Linked DNA regions of Mus musculus. The protein of the gene in region 1 interacts with the protein of each later gene in a biochemical or structural test. Links are inferred from orthologs where the notes say so. Each region holds a gene or a part of one and is shown in the gene's direction. Other genes may lie near its edges.

What was found. The genes of interacting proteins can lie anywhere in the genome.
Region 2: the proteins of Smurf2 (region 1) and Smad2 form a complex in vitro, tested with the Homo sapiens proteins (3 studies listed by BioGRID and IntAct, with this or other methods). The link is inferred for Mus musculus from reciprocal best matches to the Homo sapiens genes SMURF2 and SMAD2.
Region 3: the proteins of Smurf2 (region 1) and Rnf11 form a complex in vitro, tested with the Homo sapiens proteins (3 studies listed by BioGRID and IntAct, with this or other methods). The link is inferred for Mus musculus from reciprocal best matches to the Homo sapiens genes SMURF2 and RNF11.

The regions. Positions count from the first base shown.
Region 1 is NC_000077.6:106,823,202-106,826,853, reverse strand, and holds part of Smurf2 (E3 ubiquitin-protein ligase SMURF2), read left to right. Parts: intron 1-2,043; coding exon 2,044-2,245; intron 2,246-3,652. UniProt on the Homo sapiens protein: E3 ubiquitin-protein ligase which accepts ubiquitin from an E2 ubiquitin-conjugating enzyme in the form of a thioester and then directly transfers the ubiquitin to targeted substrates.
Region 2 is NC_000084.6:76,300,695-76,304,346, forward strand, and holds part of Smad2 (mothers against decapentaplegic homolog 2), read left to right. Parts: intron 1-1,384; coding exon 1,385-1,522; intron 1,523-1,688; coding exon 1,689-1,833; intron 1,834-3,652. UniProt on the Homo sapiens protein: Receptor-regulated SMAD (R-SMAD) that is an intracellular signal transducer and transcriptional modulator activated by TGF-beta (transforming growth factor) and activin type 1 receptor kinases.
Region 3 is NC_000070.6:109,452,360-109,456,011, reverse strand, and holds the end of Rnf11 (RING finger protein 11), read left to right. Parts: intron 1-1,589; coding exon 1,590-1,761; 3' UTR 1,762-3,155; downstream 3,156-3,652. UniProt on the Homo sapiens protein: Essential component of a ubiquitin-editing protein complex, comprising also TNFAIP3, ITCH and TAX1BP1, that ensures the transient nature of inflammatory signaling pathways. Promotes the association of TNFAIP3 to RIPK1 after TNF stimulation.

The DNA.
Region 1 (3,652 bases):
TTTGCACTATAACAGGCACTCTTCTGACAAACAGGATTTACAAAGCATTTTTAGTGGTCTGAATTCATTATTTCAGAGCCATTGTCTTAGTTAGTGTTCTAATTGCTGTGAAGAGACACTATGACCAAGACAACTCTTATAAAGGACATTTAATTGGGGATGGCTTACAGGTTCAGTCCATTATCATCAAGGTGGAAGCATGGCAGTGTCTAGGCAGGGATGATGCTGGAGGAGCTGAGAGTTCTACAGCTTCACCCAAAGGAAGCCAGGAGCAGACTGACCCTTCCACACTGGGTGGAGCTTCAAAGCCCACCCCACAACGACACGCTTCCTCCAACAAGGCCACTTCTCCCAACAGTACCATTCCCTATGGGCCATACATATTCAGACCACCCTTTTGGGAGGTGAATTTTATTTGGTGGGCAAGATTTACAGTGTAGGGTTTTTTGTTTGTTTGTTTGTTTGTTTTTCTGTGTAGCCCTGGCTGTCCTGGAACTCACTTTGTAGACCAGGCTGGCCTCCAACTCAGAAATCCGCTGCCTCTGCCTCCAGAGTACTGGGATTCAAGGCATGTGCCACCACGCCTGGCTTACAGTGTAGTTTTGTCACTATTGAAATGTGAACTATATAGATTAAATTATAGCTTACACACTGTTAGAATTCCCTGATAAACTGTTGATTGGGGTCTCAAGATGATTTGACAGGTGAGGCCACATGCCAACAAATCTGATGACCTGAGTTCAATTCCCAGACCCTAGATGGTAGGAGAAAAATGATTCCTGAAAGTTGTCCTCTGAATTCCACCTGTGTATTGTAGCTTGTGTTCATGTATACCTACCTACCTACCTACCTACCTACCTACATACAATTAAATGAATAAAGCAAACTAGTTATATATGTGTGTATGTGTATATTTTAATCTGTAGAGACATGTTAGTATCAAAATGACTTTAGTATAGTTCTTAAATATTGATTGTATTAGGATGTCAAGTGGACACTATAGCAGAATTCATGTATTTTTTTTTTCAAGACAAAGGTTTCTCTAGGTAGCATTGGCTGTTCTGGAACTCACTTTGTGTAGACCAGGTTGACCTCCAACTCAGCAGCTCTGCCTCTGCCTGAATGCTGAGTTTAAAAGTGTGTGCCACAACGCCTGGCCCTCAAGTATTTACATTTTAATATAATGTCAAAGTTGTTAGTTAAGTGAATTATGTTACATATCCAACATGTTTCTTGTGGTACACTCTGGATCATTTTCACAGGTAAAATGAGGTAGAGGTGACTGTGATATTAGAGCAAAGAACACTGCAGGCTGATGAATTGCCTCAGATTGTAAGCTAACAGTGTTAAAATGAATGTAAATCAGTGCAGACCTAAGAAAGGCACAGAGAAACCTGTAGTATTATTTCTTCTCATCCTCTTTTGGAGACAAGGTAGTAGCTCAAGCTAGCCTTAAACTCATGTTGATCCTCCTGCCTCAGCCTCTTTAGTGCTGGGATGATAAGCATGGTGTGTTACGCCCAGCTTGTGTTTACTGAGTCTTGATTTTTGTCTAATGTTTTAAAATTTTAGAATTCTATTTTGAACTGGAGTTTTTACAACTCTTTGTTCTTGTCAGAGTCCATTACAGTGATTATCAGACACTGGGGACAGGACCTACAATGAGTAGATACTTCTGGAGATTTAAAGATACAGAGCAGTGGTGTCACTTGCCTTTAATGACAGAGCTGGAGAGACAGAGGCAGGCAAGTCTCTGAGATTGAAGCCAGCCTGTTCAAGAGAGTGAGTTCCAGGTTAGCTAAGGTTACACAGAGAAAAACCCTGTCTCCAAAAAAAAAAAGAAAGAAAAAAGAAAGGATTCCGAGCTGACTGCCAGCAGACAGAGTTACAGTCTCTGCAGCACAGGGTCTGTTGGGTCTGTTCTGAAAGCTTTCCAGGTAGTGCAGCTGTGCGCCTGTGGGATGCTCACTGCTAATCTAAGACGACTTGGGAGGCGCAGCTTTGATGCCCACTGGCTTACCACTCCTGCAAATATTTCAACAGCTCATTATTTGTGGACTTGGCAAAATTGATGTGAGTGACTGGAAGGTCAACACCCGGTTAAAACACTGTACCCCAGACAGCAATGTCGTCAAGTGGTTCTGGAAAGCGGTGGAGTTTTTTGATGAAGAGAGACGAGCACGGTTGCTCCAGTTTGTGACAGGGTCCTCTCGAGTGCCTCTGCAGGGCTTCAAAGCACTACAAGGTGAGGTGTCATGGGATGGGCACACAGGTACCTGGCATCTACTCGTGCATGGGTGGAGAGAATCACGTTGTCTGGGGTATGTTGCAGTTTTATAAGCCCTGTGCTTATAAAGATCTCTGACTAGCTCCTGCATGGAACTGCCTTCGCAGCTCCTTCTGGAGAGGGTTCTGACAGGCTTCTCTGTGATCACAGAGTGCGCTGTGGAATGTAGGTTGGAGCCTAGGTACTGATGCTCTGTTTTGTACCTTGTGGTCACCCTGCTTTACTTCTGTAGGGAAGGTCATTCACCTCCATGTTGACATCTCAGCTTGGCAAAACCTTTACTCACCTAAGATGCCTCCTCTGCCTTTCTTTTAGCCAGTTGTTTGTTCAGAGCGCTTTATTTACTATATGACTTCAGACCATCTTAAATTGTTTAGGATTGCTTTTCTGTGGGATAAGCTGTTGCATTTTGCTTGAGTTGGTAACATTGCTGATGATTGTGGTGGATCATTCAGTGGCCATTGCTTCCTTCACCTTTCAGCGCTTCCTTTTCAAAACTGCTGGAGAGGAGGGAGAATCCGCAAAGCGGGACTAGTCAGAACTCATCAGCAGTTGCCCACAGAGCGCTCAGAAAGCCTGGGCAAAGCTGCCTGACGTTGTGTTCTCCTTTTGGGGAGCGTGGTGTCGTCTTCTCTTCTGTGTTTGTATGGGGCATGTGTGCTGACTGAAAGTGTATCCTCTAGACTGCTAATCTTTGCTTAAGCTCAGCTTGAGTCATAAGTCTAAATTTGCGTTAGTCATCTTTTAAAATAGGATGCAAATGTATATTTTAAGCATAATAGCATATGCCTATAATCCTAGTCTTCTGGAAGCTGAGGCAGGAGGATCTTGAGTTTAAGACTATCTTGAACTACATAGCAAGATTCTATTTCAAAAAAAAAAAAAAAAAAAAGCCGGGTGTGATGGCGCACGCTTTTGATCCCAGCACTCGGGAGGCAGAGGCCGGCGGATTTCTGAGTTCAAGGCCAGCCTGGTCTACAAAGTGAGTTCCAGGACAGCCAGGACTATACAGAGAAAGCCTGTCTTGAAAAACCACAAAAAAAAAAAAAAAAGGCCAGGCAGTGGTGGGTGGTGGCACAGGTCTTTAATCCCAGCACTTGGGAGGCAGAGGCCAACCTGGTCTACAGAGGGAATTCCAAGACAGCCAAGGTTACAGAGAGGAAAAGAAAAGCAAACCTAGTGTGTTCTTATTGCTTGGGATGCAAATATTCTGTGGCACGTGTTTTGTTGGCAGAGGGACATCGGTTAAGCCTTTTGCTCAGACAGCACTGCTGATGCTATGGCACCTGGCCTTAAACACATGTCACTTACAACCTCAAAGCCAGGCTCCTTTTCCTATGCGCCCCCAAGTTGGTGTGTGTGGAT
Region 2 (3,652 bases), on another chromosome or scaffold:
GGGGAGCTTAGTATTTTTTAACCAACAAGGCAAAGAGTATAGAACTACAGATAGCGAGCATCACTGATCCCTTCTCCAACCTCAGCTTACTTCTGCCTCGTCGGGATCAACCGTTTCCTCACCTGAGAAATGACATTGATTACCAGAAATTAATGCTGACATTGTAAATGGTAGCAGCTAGTAAATGTACGGGTGGCTTTGTCTGAGCTGCGCAGACCTTGTTACTTTGGACCATCTTGCTGAGCAGGTCAGACAGCGCTGCAGATACAGGCTGTGATAGCCTCCCTGAGTGACTCACATAGGTTTTTATTGTCCGTGTTTTTGTGTTTTAATGAGACCATTTTATTTTAAAGAATATTAGTTTACTCTGCCCTTTTTCATGTCACCCAACTGAATTTTACTTTACTATAATTTTATCTTTTATATTTTTAAAAAAACTTTTGCTAGCTTCTTATGTGATTTGGTCAGGGAATTATCTGAAAAGTCGACTTTTGTACTTAACTGCGATCCCTCCCGCCCCTCCCACGCACCTCTGTGTGTGAGGGTTTCCAGGACTGTTTGTCAGGCACACTGCCCTCTGAGTGTATCCTCCGGGCCTGACCCTCATCCTTCACTCAGAGCTCAATGCAAGATTGAGGTTTAAAGATTTGTTCATTAATTATTAATTTAGTCATTTATTAAAGACACCATAGCTGTCTTCAGACACTCCAGAAGAGGGCGTCAGATCTCGTTATGGGTGGTTGTGAGCCATCATGTGGTTGCTGGGATTTGAACTCGGGACCTTTGGAAGCAGTCAGTGCTCTTAACCACTGAGCCATCTCTCCAGCCCCTCACATAGTCTTAAGACAGTAGAATGGCAGCATCTGTGTTTATCCTCTACCTGTGGTTTGCTGTTGGTTTGACTGGTTATTCCCTCTGCCCCATAACGAAAGCAGCTGCTGCTACTTAGGAAAGTCTGTTAACCTAGTGTGTGTTTGCACTGCAAAGTAGGCGGTTACGTAACAGGGTAGACATGATCTTTTTTATTTTTTTTTAAGTCTTTTCTTAACTTAGTGGAAAATTTGCCCAGACATTAGTTAATTTACTCAAAATTAACTCAATTTTTAAGTGAATTTTAAAACAACAGGTAATTTGAATGAAACCATCTCATTACCATATACTTTCCTATATCATTGAAATATTTTTATGAGCATTACTTCGAAAAGTCAAAATTGTTAAAAATCCTAGAGAAAGATGCAATGCTGTGGTATATTTTGGAATTGTAGTTGAGGAAAGCATGACTGAGCGAAAGTCATGGAAATGCCTCAGAACTGGTTCTGCATGATGTGCAGGCCCACGGAAGAGAGCAAGCCTTCTGAAGCTAATCACCTGTGCTTTGTTTTAGGAAGGGGAGTGCGCTTGTATTACATAGGTGGGGAAGTGTTTGCTGAGTGCCTAAGTGATAGTGCAATCTTTGTGCAGAGCCCCAACTGTAACCAGAGATACGGCTGGCACCCTGCAACAGTGTGTAAGATCCCACCAGGTATGGATTCAACCCTGTAAATAAACCTCTCATCTCACTTGCTTCATTAACTTCGCTAGTTGCTCATGGCTTTAGGAATTAGGAGCTGATTTGCATGCTCATTCTAAAACATGGATCCTTTTAAAAATATTTTTTCATAATATATTTTACTGTTTCTCAATTTTAGGCTGTAACCTGAAGATCTTCAACAACCAAGAATTTGCTGCTCTTCTGGCTCAGTCTGTCAACCAGGGTTTTGAAGCCGTTTATCAGCTAACCCGAATGTGCACCATAAGAATGAGTTTTGTGAAGGGCTGGGGAGCAGAATATCGGTATGACTCCCCCGTTCAAGTTTCGACTTTCTCCACTGTGATTATTTTTATTCTCTTCTTTGTATCTTCTGTAGTTCATGTATGTCTGTTTTCAACAGATCTTTATATAAAATAATAAAAGAAAGAGGGCTAAGTATATAACTCAGTTAGTGGAGTGCTTGTGTGTCCTGTGTGAAGTGCTGGATTTAATCCTTGGAAACACATAATCGAGGTGTTGGGATGTGTCTGGGAGTTCATGGCCATGCATGAATTGCATGAGGCCTGTAGATAAGAAACTTGAAATGACTGTATTATAGAAGAGGAGACTAAATTGGATTTAAACAGGCACTTTATGAAACCAGAGGTGTCTACTTTGTGCTCAAGGGAAGTTTCCTGATTGGAATGGCACGAGACCTGGGTTCTAGAGGATACATGGAGAGTTTCAGGAGATAGAAAAGGCAGTGTCAGTCTGGCAGCAGAGCAGCCCTCTGATTAGAAGGAGGATAAAAGTAAGATTGAACAGTTTCGTTGAGAACATCTGAGTGTAGTCCCCCTCATCGGTGGTCTCACTCTGCATTCTCCAGTCTGCTGGTGTTAGTGAACTGTATCTCCCAGTCTGCTACACGTGCAAGCCTGGCAGAAATTCTTGTGTGTAGAAAACCAGACGCCTGTACTTGGAAGTTGGCTAGAGCATACTGAAAACCCAGGCTTCTACTGGGTTGATAGCATGTGATAAAGAGTACTGCATATATGCTTAGGCACTGAGCTTCCCTTACAGTGCTTTTAATTATGTGTATATCATGTGTATATATGGGTCTGTGCTTGTGTGAATAACAGTGCCTGTGAAATCCAGAGGAGGGTTGTAGATCCCCTAGAGCTGGAGTTACAGGTGTTTATGAGTTGCCATATGTGGGTCCTGGTAACTAAACTTGGTCCTCTAAAAGAGCATGGCATATTCTTCCCTGCAGAGCCATCAGCCTCTTGGGTATCTAGTCCTAAATTCTATTGGGCATGAATTGTTTAGAGATGGAGAGCTGATAATGGCCTTTTATCATGATTGAAGAATATCATGTTGAAGAAGCAAAAGTAATTGTATTGACTGACTCTGTGTAACAAATAAGATAGAGCTAAGTCCAGTGTCGGAGAATAGGGTAACAATGTTCTGTGATCCAGGGAGTAGGCAGTGGTCCCTTTGTTAAAGCATTAGAAGGTTTTAATTTTGCTTTTTAAACTAGAAGCCTGAGGGATGTTACTGACAAGGATGTTGCTTATTGTGTGTCTTAGAGAATTGTAGCTTCAAGTCTTAACATTGTATGGCAAGGATTTAGCTTGGGTCAGCAGACTTTAAATTTGAGCCTTGTTCCAGTTAGATTTCATGGATATGTGTAAAAGTAGGGCTCCATATGTGTCAGTTTACTTGGGGCAATCTTTTCGGGTTTTTGTCTCTCCTCCCAGCCTCATTACTAAGTAGTACCTAAATTTTCTCCTATAGGTGTATCATTTGAGGTGTTAGTTAAATAATAGTATCAGTAGACTAATTTAACTTCAGAAAAAAAGGATGTTTTTGTAAATCTTTCAAAAAGATGGAATTCTGGGGAGATGGCTCAGTTGGTAGAGCTCAAAAATTGGCAAGTACAAGGATTTGAGTGTGAAGCTCTAGCACCCAAAAGAACCAGCCATGGCTGTGAGTGTGTATAACACCATCGTGGGTGGAGATGGGGGTGCTGGGACTGAGGAACCGAGGCCCCGGGGACAGATGGATTCTAGGAGCTTGCTGGCCAGCCAGCCAGTCAGTCCAGCTAGAATAGCGAGGGAGCTTCAGGTTCAGGGAGTGACCCCG
Region 3 (3,652 bases), on another chromosome or scaffold:
AAGTGAAAAGAAATACTTTCTTAGGTATATGGCTGTCTTATTTTTCTCACTGTAGTAAAATAACTGACAAAGCTTTAAGGGAAAAAGGCTTTGTTCTGACTCATGAGTTCATGGAACTCTGTCATGGTAGGAAAAGCCTAGCAACAAGACTTAATCTTGTCTGTGTTGGTGGGTCTGTGAGATCACTGCTCACATTGTGCTAACAGACAAGCAGCTGAGAACTAAACTGGAAAAACAGAATGTTAGTAACTTTCTACTGCACTGACCAAAGCTACTTGGAGAAAAAAATAAGGTTATTTGGTTTATAGTCATCAAGGGAAGCTAAGAAAGAAACTGAGGCAGAGACCAGGGAGAAACCATGCTTCCTGGCTTACTCCCAATATGGTGTCTTCAACTTGCCTTTTTAGACTACCCAGGAACCACATGCCCAGAGGTTGCACTGCTCAGTGGTCCAGGCCCTCCCATAGCCATCATTAATTTAATTTAAAAGAAAAACCTCTGTAGATCTGAGTCCCCACAGGCCAATCTGGAGGAATTTTCTCAATTGTGGTTCTCTCCAAAAACTAGCACAAGATGGCTAATAGGCTCCAATTAAAGGGTTTTTTAAAACCTGCCAAACAATGTCATAAGGGGGTCCAAGTATCCATACACATAGGTCTATGGGTGATAGTTACAGCAACAATTAAGACTATTCAAGTTTTTAGTGACACAAGAGATCTTTCATAACTTAAGAAAGTAATTTTTTTCAAGCCTGATGAGTAATTTTATTGTCTTGATTTAATAGGGACAGCTATTCTAATTAAGAATGGCTTTACCAACAAACACAGACCAAATGGGCTTAATGTTTGTCTGTTTGAGCTATAGCACCATTTAATTAATACTGGCACTTAGGAGCAAAGTCTGTTTAGAGCATTGGTTTTGGATCTCTGTAGAATTGGGTTTCTTCAACCTGTAGAAAAGTGTAGTGGACTTGAAAGTGAATTAATGGAGACAGTTTTAACTTGGAGCACACACAGTAGACTGGATCAGTCATTCTCTTTTGCTTTTTTCTTTTGCTTTGTTTTTGAGACAGCCTTCTGTTATGCAGCCCTGGCTGGCCTAGAACTCTATGTAGATCAAGCTGGAGTAAAACTCAGAGAGATCCACCTACTTCTTTGTCCAGAATACTGATTTCAGTGTCCTACCACTCCAGGCATAGTCATTCTGTTTGTATTATTCCTGATTACTTTGAAAACTCTGTAAGGAAGCAATGGATGTAATTTCCTCCCTAAAGCTCACAGTAGATGTCTCTTGTAATGTGTAACAAGTTTAGGCACAGTATGGGTTTGATCCTTAACATAGTCTGTTTTTCTTTGCTCATTTTAGTTGCTTTCAATGCTTATAATAAATTAAGAAATCAAAATGAAATAATATGAATGTTTCAGTGCATGTTAGGAAAAAAATCAGTTTTCATGCTTTGGTAATGAGATAACAGGGAAACTTTAAAAAAAAGTTTTAGGTATATGAATATTTTGCTTGTGTGTATTTAGATTAACATTAACACTGTTTCACTTATGTGAAATTTTCTGATTTCTTCTTTGCTCCCTCAGGTGTGTGATCTGTATGATGGACTTTGTTTATGGGGACCCAATTCGATTTCTGCCGTGCATGCACATCTATCACCTGGACTGTATAGATGACTGGTTGATGAGATCCTTCACGTGCCCCTCCTGCATGGAGCCAGTGGATGCAGCACTGCTTTCATCCTATGAGACTAATTGAGCCAGGGTCTCTCGTCTGACTTCAAGTGAACCATCAGTTTTGGTGGTTTTGATCTTTTGTCACTGAGCCCAAAGAGCCAGGGATTAGGAATTAAGATCATGCACAAAAGTTTCCTAAAAATTCCTGGATGGCTGCAGATGTTGAGGGAAGTATGTGATATTTTAGAAATTTAGGGGGAAAGTAGGATGGATGGTATTTTTATGTAAAGCCTTGACCCAGTGTTTAAAATATAATTGTTATTAGACCTTGTTCTTGCTCCAGTACATAGGAATTGTGTAAAGTGTTACAGCAACTGTACATGTTTAAATTGTGTGTGTTGAAGCTTAGGAAAAAGATAGTTGTTATTTTTCCTAAATGAAATAAGTTTCTTCTCCCACCCAAATTCTTTTCTGAAAAGTTACTGACATTTGGGTCAAGGTTTTATTAAAAGCTACATTTTATAACACTGGCACAAAAAAAAAAAAATAGTAGTTTTAAGCTTGTTTGCACAGTTCTTTTTTTCCATTGGAAATGGAATTCATTGCCTTAGGTCTTTTTAAATAGTGTATTATTATCGTTGGGGCTGGCTCTATGCTTGAAAACCAGTTTATTTATAACCTGTTGTAAGTGCTATATTCTGTTTGCAGTTAGGAAATGCAGAATTCACAGTGATCTCCTAGCTTGTAAGCAAACTGAGATGCACTATCCCTTTTCTATTAAGAATGAGTTGATGTGTCAGGAAACAAGGCTAGCAAAGTGGATTTGATATCCCTTTCCTTGTGTGTCTTATCTTATTGTTTTGGTGGTTAATATGGTGATAATTGAAAGTCAAGTTGAAATTCAAATATTAATATTTCTGATTTGTTGAGCTTTGAATTATGCCACCATGCTTATATAAAAACGAAGGTGGCACCATGATGAAACTTAAAGAAACAGTTTCTCATCTGTAACAGTTTTGATTCTCTTTCCTGTGACCTCTTTCCCCACTGTCTGGAACCATAGCAAAAGGATACTGCATCTCTTGTTACTGTAGTGCTGAGGTTATTGAAGTTACAGAAACACATCTGGTGTGTTTCCTAGAAAAGTACCTGTTCAGTCTTGCTAGGTGACTGACAGGAGAGGCAAATGTGTTATGTTTTGCACACCAATGCAGCAGGGTTTGTATAACCACATGACTTCATAGTTGTGATCTCAAAGGAACTTCTCCTTTATTTTTTCTTGCAATTAATGTAAGAATACTCTAAATCTCTGCACTTCTGAAGGATTAGAGGTAGAAATGGTCTAGTAAAGTGTAATGTTTTATTCATTTAGCATGTGTTTATTTTCCTTATGTTCTCCAGGTGATTCGTTCCTTCCACTCAGTGATATTGTGGTTAAAAAATGATGAGCAGAAGCGCTCTCCACCTTACAAATGAGAAATGTTCTTTTATATTGTGTTGAGTACTTGACTAACACTTTTTTACATACAAAAGTTTCTTGAAGGTTCTTCATAATTGCGGTGTAGAAGAAATTATGTCATAAATAGTTAATTGACATTGAGTTGAAGCAGTCATACATTGCTTAGATTCCCAGTAGATCCCATGATGGAAATATTTAAAGATGAACTTGGAAATACTGAAATTAGACTATCAGGTTCTGTTAAATTGTCTCGTATATCTTGCTTAATTTCTGTTCATTAATTTATATCCATCCAATTATAAAGTAAATTTGGAGGAAACAGCTGAAGTTGTGCCATATTTTTAGTGATAACTCTTTTTAAATTCTTATGTTTTCTAATTATACACTTGTGTGTCATCAAGTATTATAGTCAGACTTTTTTCCCAGGTTCTCAAAATTTGTAAATGTACTTTTCCCAGTCTTTCATGGTGCAGTCTAAGAATAACAACAATAACAAAACCCCCTTCTGTCTCAG